Mus musculus: one gene and its partners. The protein of the gene in region 2 purifies or fractionates together with the protein of the main gene of each other region. This does not show direct contact. Links are inferred from orthologs where the notes say so. Each region holds a gene or a part of one and is shown on either strand. Other genes may lie near its edges. The genes, in order: Ctif, Slbp and Mif4gd.

Evidence for each region.
Region 1: the proteins of Slbp (region 2) and Ctif purify together in Homo sapiens (affinity purification with western blotting; 3 studies listed by BioGRID). This does not show direct contact. The link is inferred for Mus musculus from reciprocal best matches to the Homo sapiens genes SLBP and CTIF.
Region 3: the proteins of Slbp (region 2) and Mif4gd purify together in Homo sapiens (affinity purification with western blotting; 3 studies listed by BioGRID and IntAct, with this or other methods). This does not show direct contact. The link is inferred for Mus musculus from reciprocal best matches to the Homo sapiens genes SLBP and MIF4GD.

What each region holds. Positions count from the first base shown.
Region 1 is NC_000084.6:75,694,853-75,698,601, reverse strand, and holds the start of Ctif (CBP80/20-dependent translation initiation factor), read left to right. Parts: upstream 1-905; 5' UTR 906-1,210; intron 1,211-1,294; exon of another isoform or gene 1,295-1,620; intron 1,621-3,749. UniProt on the Homo sapiens protein: Specifically required for the pioneer round of mRNA translation mediated by the cap-binding complex (CBC), that takes place during or right after mRNA export via the nuclear pore complex (NPC).
Region 2 is NC_000071.6:33,639,473-33,642,641, reverse strand, and holds the end of Slbp (histone RNA hairpin-binding protein), read left to right. Parts: intron 1-659; coding exon 660-741; intron 742-1,713; coding exon 1,714-1,830; 3' UTR 1,831-2,587; downstream 2,588-3,169. UniProt on the Homo sapiens protein: RNA-binding protein involved in the histone pre-mRNA processing.
Region 3 is NC_000077.6:115,610,415-115,614,163, reverse strand, and holds the start of Mif4gd (MIF4G domain-containing protein), read left to right. Parts: upstream 1-1,194; 5' UTR 1,195-1,379; intron 1,380-1,660; exon of another isoform or gene 1,661-2,129; 5' UTR 2,130-2,179; coding exon 2,180-2,261; intron 2,262-3,681; exon of another isoform or gene 3,682-3,747; intron 3,748-3,749. UniProt on the Homo sapiens protein: Functions in replication-dependent translation of histone mRNAs which differ from other eukaryotic mRNAs in that they do not end with a poly-A tail but a stem-loop. May participate in circularizing those mRNAs specifically enhancing their translation.

The DNA of each region.
Region 1 (3,749 bases), on a different chromosome or scaffold from region 2:
CCTATCAAGTGACATTTACCCCCATCTTTCACAAGACTGTGAAAGGCCCTCCCACAAGATTGGGCTCCTGGAGGGCAAAGACTGAGGGCCTTACAGGTCCCTGCATGTCCAGCTGTGCTCATTAGATGTTTTACAAATTAATCACTCAAAGGATTTCTTCAGCGGGTCTGTTCCAGCACCTCCAATATGCACCTGACTCCACTGCTTGGTGATGCGTGCAGCATCTTATATTTCTCCTGGAGGCTTCTGTGCTTTAACCACCGTTTTAACCAAAACAGTGGAGATCAAGTGATGACCGAATTATCCACTGCATCGAATTCCTCCAGCCGGCGTCCCAGCTTTTAGCATGGCCAATGGAAAATTAATTGGTCGCAAAGTGCATATCTAATTACAACATCCCGCCCCTGCCCGAGCGATGCGCAAACGTTAATTATAACATATGAATCTCAATAACCGACGGTGGCACTTAATGCCGCATTAATAACGCCACTTGTGTCCCCCCCCAACACACACACACACACACACACACACACACACACACACACACACACACCATCGCTCCCAGAGCATACATTACGCTTTCTCTTATCTGCCATTGGGACAGACTTTATACTTTAAGCTCGGAGTCCTTATCCTCACAGCCTGCCTGATTCTAAAACCAAGTTATCTCTGCAAGCTCAGACGTTGCCATAGCCCTCAGTTCTGTCCCCCACCGCGGAGGGCCCCGCTAATGCAAGAGGTCACTGGCATCGGCGTAGCAACACTACTCTGTCCAGGCAGTTCCCCGGCTTCCCCCGGGTTCCCAGCTCTCCAGGGCCCGCCATCCTAGGAAAGAAAGGCGAACTACATTACCCAGCAGGCTCGCCGTCTCCCTCTTTCCTTTCAAGTCTTTGCACGTGGCCGGAGGGGGAGGCGGGGCCCGGACGTCACTCTCCTACATTCTCTTTCCCTGTGTCAGTACTGGGATCATTTTTTTTTTCCTTCCTCTACTCCCTCCCTCTGCCTGCCCCTCCCTCCCTGTCTCCCTTCCCTCCCTCCCTCCCCTCTCGACTGGGTCGGTCCGCTGAGGTGCCGGATCCCCCTCACGGCTGGGACGCGCCGAACTCCCAGCAGGAGTCCGCTCTTTGCAGCCTGGTCCCTCCCTTCCCCTTCCCTGCCCCCTTCCCCCACCCCGACGCGGGCTCCGCGCGGCAGCCAGAGGAACCCCGAGGTGAGCATCCCTTGTCCTCCCTCCTCTTTTAGTCACCTCGATTTGCGGGTGGATTCGGGGACCCGGGAGGAGGGATACGTGACGTGCTCTCGATTATAGATAAATCCGGGAAAACCGCTCCAAACAATTCTCCCCCTTCCCCCTCCCAGTGCTTTAGCCAGCCCGGTGTCCGCACCCATCCTTAGTCCCCTCCTCTGGGTCTAGTGGGTACCGCACTCTCCGATCTCGCCCTCTCCCAGGGTTTGTCCTGTAGTGGGCCCAGCTCCCCGCGCGGTGGGGACCGTGACACCAGAGCTCCGGAACCCAGAGGGGTTCCTGGGGGGAACGCGCGTCTGGAGCCTCACTCGGGCTGGAGCCGCGCGGTGTAGCCGATGTCTTGTGCCCGGTTCCGACCCGCGGGGAGGAAGCTCGTGAGCAAGATTCCTTTCCCTTTTGTTTTGGAGCCTCGTTTGCTGCAACGAGCAGTTGCTCCAGCGCCAGGCAAACTTGCAGCTGTTCCGACCGCGCTCTGCGCCGAGGTCGGAGCGCGGCTGGGGAGGCGGCTGCGGGCGCGGCTGCAGCACTCGGGCTTGAGGGAGGGAACCCACGACTCTGTGTGTTCACGCTGCCCTCCCCTGCCGTGCGGATGGCTGTCCCTGCGAGCTTGGGGATGTGTGTGGATGGCTCTCGTCTAGACAGGCAGCAGACCCCTCCCTTCGTCCCCGGTGAGCCCGCGGGCCGCGGAGGGCGCGGCGGATAGGAGCAGTGGAGGGCGCCTTGGCGGAGCCATTGCAGTGACGGCTTTGGCCGTCCTATACCGTGGTGATTCTGCCGGTCTTTAAGGATGATCATTCCTGTGGCCTCTGAGTGATGGGGCCTGGGGGGCGGAGATGGGGATAGATACGTCCTACAGAGCTGGGGTTAAGTTGACAGGTTCCAAAAGCCGGTTCTTGCTGGCGGGCAGCCCGAAGGCCGTGGAGTGGGCTGCTGGGGGGAACTAGCTAGTGATGGTCACAGGTGCAGGTTTTAGGGGGAGATGGGAGCGGTGGCTTGGCTGAGGTAGATGTCTACGGGATCGGGAGGGCACGGGGATCGGGAGGGCCGCGTGCGGGTTCCTGAATGCCACAGGAGGAGGCATCCCCAAGACCGGGTATCGGAGCTGGTTGTTTGTTGGCATTAAAAAGACAGTCCAGGATTCAAACCCTGAACTCGGGCAGCCCTGGCTCTGATTTTGAGGAGTTCTCAGGGTAGGGGCAAGGGGGAGTGTGAACTGGGAAGGGGGCGCGGCTTTTAGAGGAGAGGGATCGGTGGCTGTGCCCTGAGTGTCCCCACCAGGAGGGAGGCGTCGCCTCCCCCGCCCAACTGTTTGTGTGTGTACACACAGCTTGGTCTGGGAGGGGGCGGCATAGTGGAGAACAGCGTGGGATGGATGCCTCTTGGGATTGGACCAGCTAGCCCCAAATGGTGTGAGTTGGGCTGTCTCTTATGTGTGTCCACGCTTGGGTTACTAAGGAATCCTTAGGCTGGCGCCGGGGAAGACCTTAGGGTGGCTTGGGCTCTGTGGCTGCCTGGGAGTCCCAAGCTCTGTGTGGCCCTCCCTCTACGTTTCTCTCGTCTTCCCTAGCCCAGTGACTGGCAGCCCACCCTGCGGGCTGGGAGGATCCTCCCGAGCTCTAGTGTCCCTCATCCTCAGCAAGCCATGTTTAGGATCCTTGGCCCCTAGCGCGGAGGCTCCTGGTGATGCTCGTGCCTGTGCGTTTCCTCAGCTGCCTTCCCAGATCCTAGAGAGAATCCACGCGTTCAGCCACCCCTCCCTGCCCTCGGTTTTTCAATTGAGAACCAAAGCCTGCCCGGTAGACCCTGTCTACCTCTGCCCGCAGGTCTGCGGGATCACACGCCTCTGCCTACCCCGCCCTCCCGGCTGTCATTTCTGAAGCTCCGAGATTATCCTTCTCTGGCTAGGGGCCCCTGCACCGCCTGGACACCTCAGGCTCGGGTGTTGGGAGCCTCCCCAGGTCGAAAGTGACACGGCTTAAGCACCGCCTCTGCTCGGAGGGAGGCGCGGCACAGCAGTGGGAGGAGCGATGGGCTGTCCTGCCGGGTTCCTCTTGGCCCAGCGTAGGGGCTGGGCCCAAACCTCTGGAATCTTGCTTCCTAGCAGCCCGTGGTCCATGAAAGGAAACCTCAGGAACTTTCAAACAACCCAATTGTATAGGAACAGATTGCCCTCAACAGACACTAAATAGTGTCATGATGCTCTTGGGTAGCCCAAGAAAATTCCTCTGAGTATGTGAAACAGGACTCTGCTGATAGCAATAGGCTCAGCGGTGTGTCATGTCCAATGCCTATCCTGGTGATGACAGTAATCTGCAAGGCTTTCTGGGTATCGTGCCGTCGAGGTGAGTAGATTGCTGGAACAAGAACATGTCACTCTGAATTTACAGAGCGGGGGTTTCCCCACCACATAGTACAGTTATTAAGAGGATGCTGTGAGGTAGGGAAGAGCTAATCCCACTGTGCAGATGAGGACACCAAGGCTCAGGAAATGATGTCACTTGCC
Region 2 (3,169 bases):
CAGTCAGAGATAGATAGATAGATAGATAGATAGATAGATAGATAGATAGATAGATAGATAGATAGATAGATAGATAGATAAACAAAAAAGGAGCTTGGAGATGGCTCAGTGGTTAAGAGCACTGGCAGTTCTAGAGAACCCAGGTTCAATTCTTCACATCGCAGCTCACACCTGTCCTACTCCAGTTTTGGAGGGTCTGTCACTCTCACACAGACATGCAGCAAAACACCACTGCAGGTGAAATAAACAAAAAAAACCAAAAAAGGATATTTTCGGGTGTGTGTGAATTCTCAGACTAGTCCTCTGAGCTGGGTAACCTTTCTTTTTGTTTTGTTTTGTTTTTCGAGACAGGGTTTCTCTGTGTAGTCTTGGCTGTCCTGGAACTCACTCTGTAGACCAGGCTGGCCTCGAACTCAGGAATCCGCCTGCCTCTGCCTCCCGAGTGCTGGGTTTAAAGGCGCGCGCCACCACATCCAGCTTGGGTGACCTTTCACTTTGAGTTGGTATCAGTATTTTGTGTTGGGTTGATTGGTCAGGAATTAAATTTATCAAATATGAAGTGTTCCTTAGGAAACAACACTGTTGTCGTGGTGTTTGGCTTTAGCAAACTTTGTGATAGCAGCAGGTAATTGACAGGCTTGTGTTGTTTCATTTCTCAGACAACCTGTAGATCTTGGGGAAATGGAGACTGAATTCACAGAAAGCAGCTCTGAGTCTCAGACAAGTTCACAGGATAACTTTGTAAGTACTTTGGATCTGTCTCTTATCTTGGGTGTTTGAAGTCATTTGAGAGTACATACCACTTTACATACCCAAGGTTAGAACTGGAGTTTGATTATAATGCGTCTGAATAAAGGACTTTTTTCCATCAAGAAATACCAAATTGATCACAAATTGGGTTCTGAGCAGTTTACCTCAGTTTGGGCTTACAGTGGTGAGCTCCTGGTGTAGGGATCACCTGAATGCTTCTTAAGGGAATTGGTTAGGTTTTTTGTCTTTTCAAGATAGGGTTTTTCCAACAGCAATGCTTGTCCTGGAGCTCACTCTTTAGACCAGGCTAACTTCAAACTCAGACCTGTGCAGTCCTGGTTGTTCTGGAACTCACTGTAGAAACCAGTTTGGCTTTGAGCTCACCCAGGTCTTCCTGCTGATGCCTCCTTCATGCTGGGATTTGCCTGGCCTAGGGGCTAGTTTTTTTGTTTTTTTATGATAAAGCTAGGTGTGGTGGTGCATGCAGGAAGATCAGAGATTAACTCATCCCCAGTAAACTGTTTGAACTACACAGAATAGTCTTTTCACTGGCTCAGTAGTTAATGATCTGGTATAAGGTACCTTTATGTTTGTGATTAAGACCTTCCATTACTTTTATATATATATGTAAAATATCTAGGTTCTGAAGTGGCAAAATGCGAAAGACTTAAAACACAAGCAACTATAAGCTGTTCTTATGCTTTGTTTGACTATGGCAATAAACAAAGGTACCTTATTCTGGTTCCCATCTGTCACTCCAGGTGTACTCAGGTTTATTGATCTTTTTGATAGCAACAATGGTTGGGACAAGTCAAGTAACATAAATGTACACTATTGAAATGTCAAGACGATGTTGGTCTTGGCTTTGTCCTGCTCTTCTGGGCAAGTTCACTTGTGCTCAGGGTAACTACAAGGAAGCCTGTGTGATGGACTGATGCAGGTATGACTGCCTCTGTTTTCTAGGATGTGTATGCTGGCACACCCACCAAAGTCAGACACGTGGACTGCCAAGTGGAGGATGAGTTTGATTTGGAAGCTTGTTTAACTGAACCTTTGAAAGACTTCTCTGCCATGAGTTAACTGCCACCTGGTGGTTACTCAGAGAAATACGTGGCTCTGCCTGGCCACCTGGAAGGCCTGAGTTGCTCTGCATTTGTTTTTGTTGTCTCTGTTAAGAGTTTATTTTCTCATGATAAATTGTTTTTCTTGCCTTATTTTTATGTATGGTAAATGTGTTAGGCATGTTTTAAGTTGTAAATGAAGCTAAATGCAGTGGAGACTTAGCCCTATTATATTTTTGCCCCCCAAGTTAGACAACAGGAAACTTGAGCCTTCAGTTGCCACTTTTCAGATGTGTTGGCAGTGGATTTTAACCATGTGTCTATGGGACCAATTTAGAATCAGTTGCCTTTCAGGTAACTGATAAAGAATTCTCAGTCAGGCAGCTGCAATGACTCTGTAAAAACTTATTTTCTGGTCTTTTATCAATGTGAATGTAGTTTTCCCTCATACAGAGCTCTGGACAAAGGATGCTAAGCTATTATATTAATGGGCTGTATGTAAGTTATATAGTTTTAATTTGGAACTTGAAATAGCATTAGTGTGAGGTAAGTATCTTAGCACATGCTCTATGAGAGTTGAGGCAGAAGAGAGGGACTTAGAAAGAACTTTGTTTTTTTAATGATCAGTTAATTTACCATGTAATATTGCTGTAAATGATAATGTGTACAGTTACTCTGTTCATGTATCCAGTTGTAAACTTGTCAATATTTGCATTTCTATTGCTTTTGTATGGAATGATAATTGCAAAAATAAAGACCCTTTAACTGACTTGTAACATTGCCCTATACTGTTTGGAGGGTCAGGGCAAGCCTTTCTTTTGTACCTGAACCACTTGTATGGCATATGGGAATGTTACTTCCCTTCCGTGAGAAAACCATGCACAAATCTGGTCGGTAGTGGCCAAGTACAGACACTGTTTCCTTGTTAAGTTCCTGTCCGTCGGATCTGTATGGAGACCATGATGATTATAATGCTCTGACATGGGACCTGCTTACATGTTCAGGGTAAAGCTTCACCATTATGTGCCTAAGCACAAAGGGCGGGTGCCTTGGTATTCTTGACCTCTGTCCACCTGCAGGTTCTATGTCAGCCACAGTAGTGGCCCTGAAGACTTATAGTAGGGCTGAGACCATCAGGTTGAGATGAGTGAGCAGGGGGTAGGGGGTCTAGTGATGCCGGGTAGGTGGCATTGAGTCATGCCTTGAAAAGCAGCCAGTGCAAAGGCCCTGAGGTGGAGTCGAGGAGTGGATAAGTTGGCTCTCTGAGACTAAATGTGGAGGCTAGGAGGACTTGAAACAGTAAAAGCTGGAGGAAAGTAGGGGGAGCAGTACCTCCTGGCTCTTGCCCTGAATAGTGT
Region 3 (3,749 bases), on a different chromosome or scaffold from region 2:
ACCATTGTAAGGATACTACTTGTTTCTTCTACTGCTATGATAAACACCATGACCAAAAAGCAAGTTGGAGAGGGAAGGGTTTATTCAGCTTACACTTCCACATCACTGTTCATCACCAAAGGAAGTCAGGACAGGAACTCAAGCAGGGCAGGAACCTGGAGCCAGGAGCTGGAGGTCATGGAGGGAGCTGCTTACTGGCTTGCTCAGCCTGGACCATCAGTCCAAGGATGGCACCATCCACAATGGGCTGGGCCCTTCCCCATCAATGACTAATTACAAAAGTGCTCCACAGGCAGTAGGAGTTTATGGAGGCATTTTCTTAGTTGAGGCTCCCTCCTTTCAAATGACTTTAGTTTGTGTCAACTTGACATAAAACTATCCAGCACATTACCAAAGTCCAATTGGGAGTTACAGGAGCAGAAATGACTCAAAGACAGGGACATTACCCAAAGCTCAGCCTAGCATTGCTGAACTCATGAAAGCTGGGATCATGGAGCACAGTGCAGTCTGCAGGCAGCCCAACAGATTGGAGAGACCTCCAGGCAGCTCAGTTGGTCCCAGCCTATCTTCAGGTCAACTGGAGCAGTCTCAAGAGTACACTGGGCAGCCCAGCTCAAGCTGCTGTTTCCACAGGGTGTGCTAGCTCGAGCCTTTTTAGGCCACTTAGCTCGTCTGAGTGCAATTCGGCAATCCTCGCTGCTTTTACATTCTTAGTAGGGAGGGGCTTCCAGGAGCCTGTGAGTTGTTCACTTCCCCTACTTAAAACATCCTGTGTCTTAATGCGCCTCCCTGCGTGGTGGGATGTTGTTTCTCCTTTATCTTAACCTGGAAGATTCAGGGTCGGCTGTCTGATTTTTTTTTTTTTTAAGAAGTCTTATCGACGTAAATTCCGTGCTCCTCATTTCCCCGCCCTCAGGAGCTTCTCGAGCTTTTTGGTACTATCACCCTGAGCGCTGTGGCAAACTCTTAAAGCAGCTGAGAGCTTTGGCTCCTGGTCCCTCGTGCGCAGCAGTGTTGCTCCCGATTCCCCCTAGGAAAGACCCAGGGCCCTTTATCTTGGCTGCTCCTTTGGTTTAAAACTTATTTTACAGTGAGTGGCAGGAGAGGGAGTTGCCAGAGTGTGCCCCAGCCCTTGCACTCCGCTTTAACCGGCCAAACCCCAGAAGACTACGCCCCTCCCCCCGAATAGGCCACGCCTTCCCGAAGCTCCTCCCACGCTGCCCGGCCGGGGAGAGTCTGACCTAGTTCACCTGAGCGGGGCAAGGGATATGGTGACCCCGGCGCGGGGTGCGACCTGGCAAGACCAACAACTTCACGCAAAACGCAGGGAGGGTCCGGCCCAGCGCTCGGAGGCTTTCGTGGTCAGAAACAAGGCGGAGGTGCGCCGGGTGGGAAGGGGACAGGGGCCGGTGAGCTTTCAGCGCGCGACGGTGGCGGTGTCGCAGTTGTCGGGTGCCGATCCGTCTCCGCGCCAAGCGAGGGAGCGGCCCGGGGCGGCGGCGGGGTGCGGAGGCGAGGGCGAGTCGTGGCCGGTAGGCGGCGCTAGCGAGTCGCCCTGGCGCCGCCGCCGCCGCCGCCGCCGCCGCGCGGTACCACGCCGGGCGCGCGCCGCGCGGCGCCCCAGACGCAGGCGCGGGCCAGCCCTGGCCCAACGGCTGCAGGGGTGGACGGACTGGAAACGCTGGGAGAGAGGGGCTCGGAGCCCTGCTGGTATCAGGATCTGCGGCTTGGACTGAGCCAGCGTCCTCCGTGCTAGACGATAAAGGCGAGCCTGACGTTTACACCCAGTTCAGTATTTGCACCCCGAAATTTACCCTGATACTGACTGTATCAGATCCCAGATCTGGGATAACTCAGATCCCGCTGGGACCGTAGGTGAATTCCCGCTTCACTTCTCAGATGTAACCCCAGAAGCCTGGGTTTCCTTCAGCTGAGCAGCAGGTGGCCACTTGGTGCTCAACTACTCCACCCGAAGCCAAGTTTGGTGGGCACTCAGCCAAGCACTGAACGCGACAGAAAGTCCAGTTCCACCCGTCCCAAGGCCTGGTCTGCCCGGCCCAGTGCCTACAGGGCTAGAATCGGGAGCTTTGTGATTCACCCTTGAAGCCTCAACCGTCTTTGCTTCTCAGGTGCTGTCCTTAGTTTCAGGCCAGTGAAAACCTGCCGGGCTTAGACCGTCATGAGCGAGGCCAGTAGAGATGATTATAAAATCCAGTCTTTTGATGCAGAGACGCAGCAGCTGCTGAAGACCGCGCTCAAAGGTGAGCCTCCCACCCACCACTTATTTTGTGTCAAGTTGACATAAAACTATCCAGCACGCTACCAGAGTCCGACTTGAGGTTCCCATGCATATTCCATTTGGGTAAGAGCCGCACTGGGGGCTGAAGCCCAGAGCCAGGCAGTGCCCAAGCCCTTCTTGGCTCTCAGAAAGTAAGTCACAACCTAATTCTCACCACATTTAAGCCAGTAGATTGGAGAATGAATCACAGAGTTAGATCTAAGATCATAAAGCCTTTAAGTACCCATGAAAGAGAACACTGCTTTCTCTTTAAAGGCTTTGCATTTGGTGCAGTCAGCACCCTTGAATGTACAGAGATGCCTGGTTTGGAGAATCAGCCTGGCAGAGGGGATATGTAATTGCCTGGCCCTTCCGTTGTAACACTCACGACAGAAGTTTGACAGGACAATTAGCAATTGCCGTCATGTGCTAAGCTAAACATTTTGGAGACGTCTCCATGCCTGTAATCCCAGCAGATTACAGAGGTAGGAGAATTAGCACAAATTCAAGGCCAAATTGCTCAACACAGACTGTGCCTGTGGGAGGAGAGATGGCCCAGTGATTTAGAGCATTTGCGTGCTGTTCTCCTTTAACCCCAGCAAGCAGGAGGCACGATAGCTGGCTACACAGTGAGATGCTGTCACCAAAACAAAACACAACAGAAAGCCATAAAGAACACTTGACTTGCAGAGGACCTTGAGAGGTTCAAGACCATTGATAGCTCAGTTCTCAGGATCCCGTGCTATCCTCTATCTCCGGCAAACACATGGCATGCATATATACATGTAAGAAAATATTCATACATATGACATGAATGAACCTAAAAAAAAAATTACATGGTGAGCTTGAGGCCAGCCAGAGCAAAACAAGACTATCTCAAAAAAAAAAAAAAAAAAAAAAAGTAGAAGCCTTGGCATTCAGTGTACGCCATCAAGGCAGTGCTAGAAAATAAAAGACGTGTAGCCTAAGAAACTACACTTGTGCTTTGGTCTCCTGCAGCCTCCTAATCTTACAGTCATTGATTTATTGGCACAGGATCTCTCCCTGGCTGGCCTACATCTCTCCCTGGCCTGCCTCTTCTACCTAAGTATTGGGATAAAAGGTTTACACCATTCCATGCAGAGTACAAATTGTTTTTTTATAAAGTTTTTTTTTAAAGGTTATTTATTATATGTAAGTACATTGTCACTGTCTTGAGACACACCAGAAGAGGGAGTCAGATCTCGTTAAGGATAGTTGTGAGCTACCATGTGGTTGCTGGGATTTGAACTCAGGACCTCCAGAAGAGCAGTCAGTATTCTTAACCACTGAGCCATCTCTCCAGCCCACAAATTGTTTTTTGTTTGTTCATGTGTATACCTACTTGTCTGCTTGTGAACCACACATATACTGTGCCTGTGGAGGCAAAGGAGGATGGCCAAGCCTCTGGAACTGAAGTTCTAGGCGCCTGTGAACAGCCAGCGTAGAAGGT